Linked DNA regions of Drosophila melanogaster. The protein of the gene in region 2 purifies or fractionates together with the protein of the main gene of each other region. This does not show direct contact. Each region holds a gene or a part of one and is shown on either strand. Other genes may lie near its edges.

Region 1 (7,036 bases), on a different chromosome or scaffold from region 2:
TGAAGTTGGCTGGCGCTTGAAAAGTGCGCACAATCTTTTCCTCAGCTCCGCTGGCAAATTTATAACGTGAAAGCAAAGCCAACGCCTGCATATCATATCCATGAATTTGTGGACGAGCCAGCTCGTGCCACGTGGGATTAGCTCCATCCTGTAGCCACGGAGCGTGCAGTCGAGTTGTTTGGTCTGCAGACGCGGTCATCAAATAGGCGCCGCTATGTTCCCAAGCCAGATCCCTCACTTCGCCATAATGACCACCAACGATGACACCTGGGGTCCAGAGCTGTGGCCGATCTGGATCTTGGCTCCAAATATGAAAGCCACCTTGGTAGCTGTGGGCCATGATCGAGTGTCCATCGCCGGAGAACTTTCCACCATAGAAGCCCACGGAGTTTCCACCCACTTCACCCACGCGAACTTCTTCCAACCAAATGCCTTCTTCCGTAGGTGCCCAAATTATGACGGTCTTGTCAATAGAAGCGGATAGAAGGCGGAGCTCTAAATGGATAACGTTTTTGAAAGGTCTTTGGGGAGTTCAATTGCTGTGCTTTACCTTGATCGGGTGTTTTGTGCCAGTGGACCCCATAAATCCATCCCTCATGTCCATATAGAACCGATTCCAAGCTCACTGCATACCAGGCTTCTTTCCCCAGTTGTAGTATCTTCTCCTCCACCTTTATCTCATCGTCGTTGTGGCTCAATTGATGCAGATCAACCCGATTCTCTTGCATTTGCTCTTTGCTGCGCGGCGCAATCCGCCAGAGACGAATAAAGTTATCCTGAGAGCCACTGGCCAGCAGCAAATCCTCGCCATCGACAACGAAATCCAGACCTCGAACCCAGTCTTCGTGGCCAGTGAGCTTGTGTTTGCGTTGGAACTGCCGACCTAGTGAATCTCCTTCACCTGCGGTTTCTACCTGTTCCGACCACAGGGAAACAGTCTCGTCATCGCCACTGAAGGCGAGCAGAACCTGGTTGCTCTTGGGCAGCAGCTGCAGTCGAAGACAGAAGCAGAATCCGTCGGATAAAGATATGGTTTGAAAGCACACATAATTATTATCCTGGAAAGTCCACAACTTGATGGTGGTATCTGCTGCTGCGGTCGCCAAAAGCCAGGAGCCATCCTGTTGGCGAATTCCATCCACAGTATTTACGCCACTTGTGTGTCCTTTGAGAGTGAAGCTCTTAGTCGTTCCCGTTTCATCCAGTTCCCAGAGAATAGCAATTGCATCATCTCCGCCGGAAAGAAGTTTGTCGCAATCCAACCACCTCACAGTGTTTACTCGCTTTGTGTGCTCCACCAGCGTGAACAGGACCTTGGCTGAGTTGCCTTGAAACTAAAAATTGGTTAAATATACTATGTTTCCAGTAAAGGCAAAATTTCCTACCTTTGGATCCATAATGGCTATGGCGTTACATGCCCCATAGGCAATCCAACCATTTGGACCCCAATCCGCGCATTCCGTGCAGCGGTTGCAGGCCACTGAAGTATGCAGATTCTCCACTTGCATGCTAATGTTGCACTTCTATTTTTTAATGACAACTAAATTCGAATTGAATGTCGGCGAAATTGTTTTGTTTTGGCACATGTGCTTCAAATAATGCAGTGCTTCTAAAACTGTCTCATCTGTTCATAAACATATGATTTCTAAGGGAGTGCAAGTGAGACAACTATATGTTGTGAAGAAGCTGGAATAGTGAGGCCAGCCGACAATATTGAAAAGTCTGGCAGGGCTAGTTACGAAAGTTACACCTGTTTGGTTTTTGATTTTTCGGTATTGCAGACCATTGCAAAATTTTGACCGAATAAATATTGCAACTTCTGTAATACTGGGTATATGATGGATTTTAAAATTTGAAAAGGCACAAACACAGCTGCTACATTCGTCAGCCTTTTCACTTCAAATCTAGCGCTTTTCCACTGCTACTGTTTGGTCACACTGGTGCGCAAAATAACTAAAACAAACTCGGAAAAGGCGTCCGCAAATGTTTTCTTCTGCTGCTCCCCGCGTTTAATTAAAAGTAATTTTCCTAATTGATGGCCAGGGGTGAGCCCCAGTTGCTGATATTTGACCTTTCACCGCCAGCGTTTCGGATTTCCAATCAGAAAGCCAACAGCTTGCAACTGACTCACAACGAAGTCACTTGAGATTGTCCGAGTTTTTTTTCAACTTCGGTATTCTATTTTTCGTATCTCCCCTGCAGCTTGTGAGCGTCTTGGAATGCTGAATGTGTTTCGCCAGCAGTATAATCGAAGCGCACAGGAAGTTATTTATAGCGCCGCCGGATTTGGATCATTCCGATCCAGCCACACCCACGATTTCGACCAGATCCAAAATGCCGAGGGGGAAATCCCGCCTGCAAACCGAAGTTTGTGGCGATTGCGGAGCTGGTGATCCATCCTGGGCGAGCATCAACCGGGGCATCCTTCTCTGCGCCGACTGCTGTTCGGTGCACCGCAGTCTGGGCAGGCACATCTCCATTGTGAAGTCTCTACGCCAGGGTAACTGGGAGCCCTCGGTTCTGAACTTTGTGAACTCTCTAAACGCCCATGGAGCCAATAGTGTTTGGGAGCATCATCTGCTGGATGGCAGCACCAACTCCACCGGCGGAAAGCACGTGCCACGCTGGCGGAAACCCACGCCCAAGGATGCACTCCATCCCACCAAATCCGATTTTATTAAGGCCAAGCATGTGAATCTAACGTTCGTGCTAAAACCCAGTCTCCAGGATGACGATGATGGCAATGGCTCAGCGGGCTGTCTGGAACAGGAGCTGAGTAGACAGCTCCATGCCAGCGTGCGGACCAGCAATCTAGAGACTTCACTGCGCTTCTTGGTCCAGGGTGCAGACCCAAATTACTACCACGAGGACAAGCTATCAACGCCACTTCACATGGCCGCCAAGTTTGGCCAGGCATCACAAATCGAGATGCTGCTCATCTATGGAGCCGATGTGAATGCCTTGGATGGCAATGGGATGACTCCTCTGGAACTGGCCAGGGCCAACAATCATAACACCATCGCCGAAAGACTGCTTGATGCCATGTACGATGTCACCGACAGGATCATTACCTTCCTAGGTGGCAAGAAGCCAGATCATGCGGTGAGTTTAGATCTTTAATTACCTGCAGAGTGAAATTATACTTTAATTGGACAAACCATTTAACCTTATCCATTGATTAATCATATATGTATTAAGCCAATTAAGCTATATCCTTGTAACTCCTTAAGTTGTCTTCAGTCTAAAGTTTATAACTATCTATTTAAATTTTTGTTAGTCACAGAACTATATTTATTTAATGGATTCATATTTCCATGAGCAAATGCACAGTTGACTCGACCTTTCCTACCCATTTCCTTATTCCGTTCTATTTAAATACTATTTCCATACGTAGAGTGGCCGCCACATGATTATTCCGGATGCCAATGGCGCGGACATAAGCGAGCAACTGAAGATTGCACGTGGAAAGTTGCAACTCGTGCCAAATAAGATGTTTGAGGAGCTGGTCATGGACCTATACGATGAGGTGGACAGACGCGAGTGCGAAGCCAGTGAGTATGACTGCTAAACATAGACTACAAACAAAGCTAATCTTATTTTTCTTAACGAAATAGTCTGGTCGACAAGCACCCTGAATGCTGATCATGCAACTGTGCCATTTTTGCCGGCTAATCCATTTTTGAGCGCCACGCGCAATCAGGTTTGACCTCGCCGTACATTAATGATTCGAACCTTCATTCATTGACATGGTCTCGCCTACAGGGTCGTCAGAAATTGGCACGCTTCAATCGCGCCGAGTTCACTGGTCTCTTGACCGACGTGCTCGTCGATGCTATGCGACGCCAGAATATGGCCAACCTGCGTCCAATGGATGCCCCAGTGGCCGGGCACCAGTCGCTGCAATCGCTGCCGTATGCCAACAACTCAATGCTGCTCGGCTCGTTCGAGCAGGGCGGTCATGATCCGAATCTGTCGGACGACGAGCCCATTTATGATCCGGTGGCCAGCGATGACGACTATGCCCCAGTGCCACCAATGGCCCAGCAGGTAAACCTAATGCGGCAAAAGATACTCAAGCTGAACAATAGCTTTGGCTAGAAGCGTAAGCGAAGACTGACATTTAGACAACCCGTGCTGTACCCATTGTGTTCATCCGTAGGCCAGGGCACTATAGCTCCCTGATTTTAGGCAACCTAATCCATTTTCAAAGGTAGAAGTCCAAATGTAGAACATAAGCCTCAATAAAACTAGCTGATACTTGTGAAAATGTAGTTTAAATAAGTAGTAGTTGGTACCGTGATTTGTCTGCCTTGCCTTTTGTTTTTATGCAATATTTATTTTTAAAGATTTTGTAATTATTAGTTGTACTTGATTTATATTGATTTATTTTCCTTGTTTTTATGCTTTTTATTTTACTTAGGCCATTGTGCATACGCCACCGCGCAGCGCGAATTCGCACAACGAAATGGAAACGCTGCGCAAACAGCTGAACGATTACAAATCGGAGATCAATCAGCTAAAGAACGTGGTGCAGATGCTGTCCAGCGAGAACACGCAGCTCAAGTCCAAGTTCTCGAGCGCATCGAACAACAGCGTGTACGATGAGCCACTGTGAGATTTTTCATTTGAATTTATTTGGCTAGCTTTATTTTTATGATTTGTTTTAAATTTTCCTTTGCATAGTCGCATTGATCTGAGCTTGAGCAGTCCGGATACAGAGCACGAGCCTCTGTCGCTACCCGAAGGTGGGACTGCCAATGGGGAAAGCGGCTCCTCCAATGATTCGTCAAATCAATCGACCATCAAGCGTCCAGCCAGCATGTACGAGCGTCGTTTGGTACCCAATGTGGCCAAGGGCAATACGGACATACGAAATACGACCAGCATGTACCAAATGGCTGGGGATGGCAAACCTTTTGGTGAGGAGGTCAAAGTGCGCTCTGACTTGGTCACACGCCGTCTTAAGGAGCTCATAAGAGCTATGCAGCCAGTGCCAGAGGATCAAAAGCAGTCGATTGCTCCACATGGAGAGCTTATACGAAGTGCCGTGACTGATTTAATTGCCCTTTATGCCAATTTGGTAAGATGAACATAGGGGCTTCCTTTATAAGGATGTTTCATAATCATAAACATATATTTTAGCCACCGAATGCCAGTGACCCGTCTCGCGAAACCCTTAAACTGCTAACCCGCCAGAACATTCTCATCCAGCACGAGTGCGAGAATCTGCAGAAAGCCATCGAGGCGGATGACAAGCAGGCCATACAGAAGAACACCTTGGAGGTGCGCGACTGCGCCTTCCACATTGCCAGTGCCATAAAGACTTTGGTGTTGCAGTTCTATTGAGACGCCCAAAACACAATCATCGACATAGAAGTTTAAACTCACTCACTCTTTTTTGAAGTATTAACCGACCACTTTAGTGCCCTGCTGACTAACAAAAGTGCTTCCGCCAAATAATTTAAAGAATCCCCTTTACATATAGTTTATGTATTTAATAAATGTTTACATAAATCAATGTACTTCGTTCAATATACACAAAATGCGTTCTTCTACGGGCTAATGACCCATTGCAAAATAGTTTAAAAGTGTTGAAGGATTGGCCCTCAAATTCAAAGGGGGGGAGACAAAGGAGGTGGAAAGATTTACGATATCTGTGTATATATATATATATTTATGGGTCCTTTATAATTTTAATAATCAGGTGCATTTTGAGCCTGTATATTGTTCACTTTAGTTAACTGTACGTTCTAAGCATGGACAATCAGTTAAGCATGGAGTACATATGTATAAGTGGCTTCCTCTACTTATTGTTTAACTTTGTGTAATTGAGTGGGTAGCTGCTGCCTTTGCTCTGGCTGTTTTTCTGACCTCCGGCTGGTGGTCGGATTGCTCGCCTATGGACAAAAATACACTCGTGGTGGTTGTGGTGTGCAAGTTCAAGGAACTATTTAAGATTAAAGCATTTATCCATGAGTGTTGCACGACTGTGCTCGCGGTCTCTAAAAAATAATATGCTCTGCCATGTTCGAAGCGCACCAAAAGTGTCCATAAAAATATACACATCCCATTTTGACATTCAAAATCTAGGTGCATTGTCTAAAATATTGCTTAACATTCACTTTACATCTGCTTGCCCCTTCAGTTTGCTACTCGTAGTCCTCCTCGTCGCGGTCCAGTGGTTTTCATTTGCTTGCGTACAACCTACAGTATTTGATTGTGTTCGTGGACTCGGGATTTTTTAAAAACAACTACTTGGAATATCTGAAGGTTTTTTCCCAAAAGCTCGGCTCAAACTCTTTTCGTTATCTAGATCACAAAACATAAGGGCTGCTCTGTAGTTACAGTAATAATAATCAGTTGGTTGTGTAAATCAGTTTATCTAATTAAAAGTAAATTAAACTAGCGGTAAGCTTTAGGTACACGTACTCACTACACATGCATCATATACAATATCAATATCAATATCTCTGGGGAAGTCTTACAAACGTTCACAACGAAACTTAGCCGAAAAAAACAGTGGAGCATTAACAATAAACGGTAATAATATAGGACACGATCCCACAGATCTGCCAACTATCTAACTAGCTAAATGGTTATATCTTCGCTTTGCTTTTGCCTAAACCGTACTCAAATGTTTCTCTCCACATCGGAACCTGTCCCTAAATCAATTTGTCTTATTTTCTTGTAACTAGAAAAAACGAAAAAGAAATAAAGAATACAATAAATTAAATGCAAATTGTAAATCAAATGACTTTTGGTAGTTCTTTACTCGTCCTCAGCTTCGGTGATTGTGGAATTCATTATGTGCGTCTCCTTTTTGAACAGTAACTGTCGATGATGCTGCGGGAATAAGGATTGCTTAGTGTCAATTGTTATATTAAATATACAGAATATTGTATATTACTTCTTCGTTTTGAATCATAACGATACGGTGCTCCAGTTGTGGCGCCAAATCGCATGTGGACTGCTCCAGGTCATCCAAGGACGCACGTCGTAACATCTTTAAGGGAGTAAATATTTCATTTCAGATATT
Region 2 (6,877 bases):
AGAAGCATTTAGTTGACTGAATTATTGGTTTTTTTTTTTTTTTTTTTTTTTTTTTGTATTTCAACACTTTCTTTTAAGCAACATATTTATATAGAAAATCTAATACATTTTTAGACACATGACAAAATCCTATTTACGTTAAAAACAGTTTCAATCGTTTAGTCCCAACAAAGGACATTTAAAGCTTAAAGCTCAAGAATACATTTTATGTAATGACTCCTGTACTTTCGGCACAACTGTTGTTCAACTTGCTGCTGCTCGTGCAATAGTAATTTGTTGCCGGTTTCTGGAGTTCAGAGGTCCGCCTGCATAATCCATTGGGTCAATAGCAGGGCTCCTCGTGGGGCATCCGTTCCAGCTCCTCCCGAAAAGCGTTTGTTTGCTAGCACTCGCTGCGAAAGTAAAATGCACTGCCGGACGACGACGGAGGCACGTTCTGCCTGCCGCTGCCTGCCGCATGCCACCTGCCTCCCGGCCCCAAACTCCCCCATTGGATTCCCAGAACCAACAAGCATCATTACCCGAACAATTTTGAACCGCTGCCAAGAGAATTTCCTATGAAAGGTGGTGGCAAGCTGAATGCAAATTCATGCTTTTCTTTACTCTCACATGATCTTGGTTTCGGCCACCAGGTCAAAAGCAGTTTGCAAAATAAATAGCTACCCTAGAAAATATTATTTAAATCAAATTGAATTATTTCATGGTTTAAAAAGTTATATTTGTTTGTATATATTTATGTGGGGAATGTGAAAAAGTCTAGGGTAAGATCTCGTCGAACCACTTGGCTCTTTGCGCCCTATGGTTGTTATTCTTACGCTTTAATGAAAGCATGTTGGCAATATCTGTATGTGGGCCTGTGATTTCCCAAAACAAACATTGGCCGTCAAATCATGCGCCTGATTTTCACTCGTGTCTGCTGGGAAACCGCGTTTCTTCATATTTCCGCTGCTGACCTCGTTCTTGGTGTGTTGGTGTCGAGAACAGCGGATCCCCACAAGCTATTGGAACTCCCACTCGCTCACCTCTTCGGTGTGCCCACAGCCACCGATGACTTCCTCCGCCACGAAGTATCTATAAATACGGCGAGCGACGCAATCAAACTATATTACGTCCATATATCTGAGGAAATGCATCTCAAGTGGCGGCTGTGCAGCCTGTAAATCTCGGTATTGACACATTGAAGAGGCCTTATTGAGTGCAGTTCGGCTGAGCTAGTAGGGATAGCGATTCGGATCCGGTCCCGACCAGGCAGAACTGCATAAATTTGGTTTGTCTTTGGCTGACTTTGTTTGTCTTTGCCGCTGACTTTGCCAAGCAAAACAATCCACTCGCCTTTCTTTTACATCTCTCGTCTTTGTTGTTTACGTTCCCCAGTGTCCCACGAAAATAAACATTCGGTGATTTGATTTGGGGTGCTCCCCTCCGATGGATGCGACGTTTTACTCGCCAAATTGCGCATTTCCGGAAGCGGCAGGGATATTCATTTGAATTTCGCCTTCGGCGACGGATCGTTAATAACCGAAAGAGTTGTCTCTTATACTCAGAGAGCGTGGGCCCGGTGTATCTGTATCTGAAACTTGTATCTGTATCTGTATCTGGATATGGGGCCGCATAGCCGATCCGCGCGGCGCCATGTGCAAGTTTAATGAATTAATTAAAATTTGGTTCCGAGAGCTTCAATGGGGTATGTATGCATCTTTGTATGTGCCCACATATCTGCGTGTGTGCCGCTCGGTATCTGCATTTATGCATCTGCTCATCTGACCTCCGATGCATCGTTTGGAGCACCACCACCTACGGAAATTTGATTGTGCCCGGCCATGGACTTAAAGTGATTTCAGGGTTAAACGAAGCGAAGGAAAGTGACATACATTCGGCTTGGGTTTGGCGCTGCACTTATAAAGCATATTTTTTGCCGACATTCTGATCTCGGCAGATTTGAATACGAATATTCTGTGGAAAAAATATTTAGTTCTTGGTCACTCTAGCTCAAAAATTCTCCGTCGGTCTATAAGCTTCAACATCTTTATTCAGTAGAGTTTACAGTTCCAGCCTCCTTGTTTGTCTCAGAATGAAAGTCTTTGGGTTAAATTTGATTTATATTCTATCTTAAATTCTAAAAATATGACGAATTTAACATTTCCTGAGGCCATAATCCCATTAAAACCACAATGTGTGTCGCACGATTCTAAATTTTAGATTATACAAGTCTACACATTCCATAAACGTTTCCTATGATTCACGGGCATATATTGTATGATCAACAGGAAACTGAGCGGAACAGGTGAATTTTTCTGAAATAATTCTAAAATGCTTGAATATGAAGAAGTTTTCGATTGATGACTGAATCCACAAACATGGAAGATCTCACATCCAATAGGCAACCCACATATATTTTGGCACAAATATTTTTATGTGGTTTTTTTGAATAGACAATACAAAAGCACAGCGAGTGTCGCTTATTTCTCAATGAAATACAATTAAGATCCTCATTTTGGAAACGCAGATGAAAAGGTTGTCCCCGGATTCATATTTTTTGTCACATCTCTGTTGATTTTTCATGAAAATATGCGATGTGTCCGGTCGAAAACGCTCGCGTACATGTGAAAATATATTCGAATCTCCTGCGATCCGACGAGACTCTCAGAAAATGACTGCGAGAGTGGCACTTTCGGTTGCCGTGGAAAATTCGTCTGCCATATGTCGCCAGCTTTTCGGTATTTTCCGCTTTTCTCGGCAGTTTCGCTGAAGCAATGAACGCGTGCGGTGCATCGTCTGAGAGCAGAAAAACGGCGAAAAACGTCAAATTGTCGTACCACAATTTATTGTCGAAAAAGTATATATCACCCATCTATACAAAAGAGTAGCGGGTATATGTATTCGAGTGCCTAGATGGCGAAAAAGTGACATTTTAAGAAATTTTCATGCGTTTGTGCAACCAAAACGTGACCTTGCCTTAGGGAAATATTCTCATCAGCCTATAAATCTTGACAATCTCATGAGAGCGGTAATAATTCGTGAAAAACTACACGTTCCAGTTTGGCATATAGAACTTGCGATCCGCCAATATGTACACTTTCGTCTGTTTTTTATTTTTAGTATTCTAGAAAACTATTTGGGCAAAATAAACCAAGTTGTTCATATTTTTGCGTTTACTCATTGCGGCAATAGCAAACAAATGTGATGCATCTATTTTTAGAAAATATATCACTTTTTAACATTTTCAGTCCAGAATTGAATTTTTGCATAAACATAGGAATTCCTATATTAATAAAAGCACACGTCGCGCTGCCAATTTTAAATAGTACCAACGAATAGACTAGGCTAAAGACTTTTATAAACGACTTTAAAAATAATGACATCCACTAACTAGCCCCCTAGTGCCACTCATACAAGAGACCATTTCAATTAAGCTTTGGAATATTGGGGGTTTTTGTGAGTAACAATGTCGTAATATAATTTTCGAGGCATTCGAAAATATTGCGATTTTACTTCTTTCTATAGATATCTGATGTATAGAGTGCACTTGCCTTTAGAATCCAATGTGCCAATCCCATTTCCGTCAACGAAAGTGTTTAACGATTGAATGAAATGTTGATCTCTTAAAGAGTTGTTCGAACAAACCAAATAAAAAAGGTCGTAAATATTTTTAGACGCGACGTGGCCGTTGTTTATGATTTATATGTTGGCCTGTCCTGTCCGGCTATTCAAATTGTTTTTATGGCCCGAAAAGTTTTTCTTTCACAATACGCGCGAGTGATTTTTACCCAATTTTTTAATGGATCCTCGCAGCTTGTGTGACCTTGGCCATCGTGTAGCGCACGAGTTTTCCAGACACTTGCAGTAAACTAGGAAAGAAAAGCCGGAGGGGAGTCGCCGGAAAAGTGTCAAGAAACTTGCGCACGCGTTTCTCGACAGATGTTTTCAAAATGTTTTCTTCTTTGGGGCCATAATTATTGCTCGGCTAATTCCAAGAGGCTGAGGAATGCCGAGCGATCGACGATGATGTAGCTCATCGCTGCAATAATGCGTAGGTGCTGTATATAACGAGCGATATGCTCACATATGCTTTTTCATTGAGCAAATTGCCTGGCTGATGTTTCAAGTTCAATACCCATCGCCTCGTTTCAGTTGAATCAATCTAGTGCGCACTCGGATCAGCCCTGAACAATCCGATAATGGATCAGCCACTGGTGGTGCAGGCGGAGTACTCCTTCATGGGCAGCAATAACGACGAGCTGTGCTTCCAGAAGGGCGATGTCATCACGGTTACCCAGCGCGAGGATGGTGGCTGGTGGGAGGGAACGCTGAACGATAAGACTGGCTGGTTTCCCAGCAACTATGTGAATGAGTGCAAGGTGCAGCTGCCTCTAACGGAGACCATAAGGCCGCCGGAGGAGATCCAGGAGTATCGGTCTGTGGTGCTCAAGGATCTGCTTGACTCGGAGCGCGCCCATGTGGCCGAGCTGCAGGGTCTGCTCGAGAATTTCTTGGAGCCCATGCAACAGACGCAAATGTAAGTTCTCTATTCTCTGACATAATTTGAATATAATCTAAAAGGGCTTCTTCTACAGACTCAGTCAGGATGAGTACGCCCAGCTGATGTGTAACTTTGTAGAGATTGTGCGTACGCACGAGGATTTGCTTATCCAGATCGAGGAGTGCAACGATCGAGTGGGAAAACTATTTCTCACCAGCGCCCCCTTGATGAAGAAGGTGCACCAGGCGTACTGCGCTGCCCATCCAAAGGCCATTGTCATACTGGATAAGTACAAGTATGTGCTCCTCGCTTTATATACATATATTGTGGTGTTCAATTGTTAATAAATATAAATTTTTTTCTATTCCAAAAGGGACGAGCTGGAAAAGTATATGGAACGACAGGGCGCAGCCACTCCTGGATTACTTGTGCTCACGACGGGTCTATCAAAGCCCTTCCGGCGACTGGACAAATACTCGGCCATGCTGCAGGAGCTGGAGCGGCATATGGAGAGCAGTCATCCGGATCGCGGCGACACCCAGCGGAGTGTTGCCGTGTACAAAGACATAGCTGCCACCTGCTCGGCCACCCGTCGCCAAAAGGAGCTGGAGCTGCAAGTGCTCACGGGGCCAGTGCGTGGATGGCAGGGCCAAGAGCTGAGCACCCTCGGGGACATCATCCACATGGGCAGCGTTGCAGTTGGAGCTGATCATCGCGACCGATACTTTGTGCTCTTCCCTCAAACATTGCTATTCCTTAGCGTTAGTCAGCGGATGAGTGCATTCATCTATGAGGTGGGAAACACAAGCACAACATGGCGAATTTGTTTGTAATCTGTTTTCACACGCAGGGCAAGCTACCCTTAACTGGGATCATAGTGAATCGCCTGGAGGACACGGATGCCCTGAAGAACGCCTTTGAGATAAGCAGTCCCTTGATCGATCGCATTGTAGCAGTTTGTCAGGGTCCGAATGAGGCCAACAAGTGGGTGGAGCTGCTCAATGCCAATAATCCCAGCTTGCCGATGGGCATCAAACGGCAATTGAGTAACTTGAGCAACTCTTCGCTAGGACACCTAAATGCCGCTCATGTAAGTAGTATATTTCTCCTATATATTCACCTTTATTATCGTTTCGTTTTGGCGACACTTTAAACCGTGAGCAGCTGAGTCAACATTTGGATTCACGGGGCTACTGCACGCGATTCTCGCTGTGTGCCTATTACTCCAGCCCCCCGTGCCATGTGCGACCTCTCCGTGTGACTCTTCCCCCAAGCAATTACCCAGCAACAGCTCCGTACGCCAATCTTAGTGCTCACTTTGCCAGGCTTGTTAAAGGCGGCGGACTGAGGAGTGCTATCGTAAAGATGCTTCTGTATCCGCAGGCTCGCCAGAGCATCGATCTCAAAAGGATTGCGTTGCGCAAAAGGCGTTGTCACAAGGCATCTGCAAAGTTAAAAGATCTCAATACCAATCAGGATTCGGGGCAGTCCGAGTTGGAACGACAGGATGCAATTGAACTACCAACGGACTCGGAGAGCTATGACGATGACTTTGAAGATGATTTTTTGCATTCCTGCGACTCGGATCCGTTTGAATATGTGCAGTTTTACCAAAACAAGCGGAACGATTCCATGTGCAACTCCACAGGCACATTCGTGGACCATGGCACGGGTGCCAGGAGGCACTGTTCCTCTATCAACCTCATTAAATTGGATTCCGCGGACACGGACGAAGTTCTAGCGCTCAACGAGTTAAAAAAGGAGTCTCTTGTTATAGGATCCAGAGCACTAAGAGCTTTGGCTCGGAAGTCCACGACTCGAAATTCCAGTGTGCACACATCCACGGCAACTTTGGAGCTAGGTGTGGGTGGCAGCATCACAAACTGTGTTGAGGAAGAGCCAATTCTTAAGGTCAAGCCATCGTTCTCCCTGCAACAACAAAGTTCCGATGCGAGTTCCATTTTTGCAGCTAGATTGGGCGGTGCATTCACCGCCTGCGAGAATCTGGCCAGTATGCCTGATGATCTCAGCAGGGAGTCGAGTATCCAAGAGCCACCCACTCCTCTGCCAGCTTCACCGACAGAACGGCACAGCATGCCGACCATATTTGTGGGCAATCGGTTCAACCACAGCAAAAATACAGAGGTATATGTACCGACGTGGCGAGATCGCCAGGAAATGCAGAATCAGAGTGTGGATGCGAAGCAGGATGAAGAGTTGCACTCCAGTTCCATTGATCTACCCGCCGCCTGTCTATCTGCTCCGGATAAACTGCAAGCAGAACTACTCTACAATTACGACGAGATCCTAGAAAAACCTCTACAGCTGCATCGGGAGCTAACGCCCTTTCCGGGCCATAATCTTAACTCGGATAAGCGAGTTTCCCACAAAAGCGAC

Evidence for each region. The genes of interacting proteins can lie anywhere in the genome.
Region 1: the proteins of RtGEF (region 2) and Git purify together in Drosophila melanogaster (affinity purification with western blotting; 2 studies listed by BioGRID, with this or other methods). This does not show direct contact.

Annotation. Positions count from the first base shown.
Region 1 is NT_033778.4:10,640,321-10,647,356, reverse strand, and holds Git (G protein-coupled receptor kinase interacting ArfGAP), read left to right. Parts: upstream 1-1,929; 5' UTR 1,930-2,019; intron 2,020-2,202; 5' UTR 2,203-2,226; coding exon 2,227-3,102; intron 3,103-3,394; coding exon 3,395-3,551; intron 3,552-3,614; coding exon 3,615-3,700; intron 3,701-3,762; coding exon 3,763-4,047; intron 4,048-4,420; coding exon 4,421-4,611; intron 4,612-4,683; coding exon 4,684-5,080; intron 5,081-5,142; coding exon 5,143-5,346; 3' UTR 5,347-5,539; downstream 5,540-7,036. Other genes in the region: Elp2 (elongator complex protein 2), read right to left, coding at 1-495, 551-1,334, 1,386-1,508; CG11883 (uncharacterized protein), read right to left, coding at 6,769-6,843, 6,908-7,003. UniProt on the Drosophila melanogaster protein: GTPase-activating protein for ADP ribosylation factor family members, including ARF1.
Region 2 is NT_033779.5:20,351,232-20,358,108, forward strand, and holds the start of RtGEF (Rho-type guanine nucleotide exchange factor), read left to right. Parts: upstream 1-2,735; 5' UTR 2,736-2,836; intron 2,837-4,131; 5' UTR 4,132-4,178; coding exon 4,179-4,516; intron 4,517-4,574; coding exon 4,575-4,775; intron 4,776-4,853; coding exon 4,854-5,274; intron 5,275-5,330; coding exon 5,331-5,570; intron 5,571-5,644; coding exon 5,645-6,877.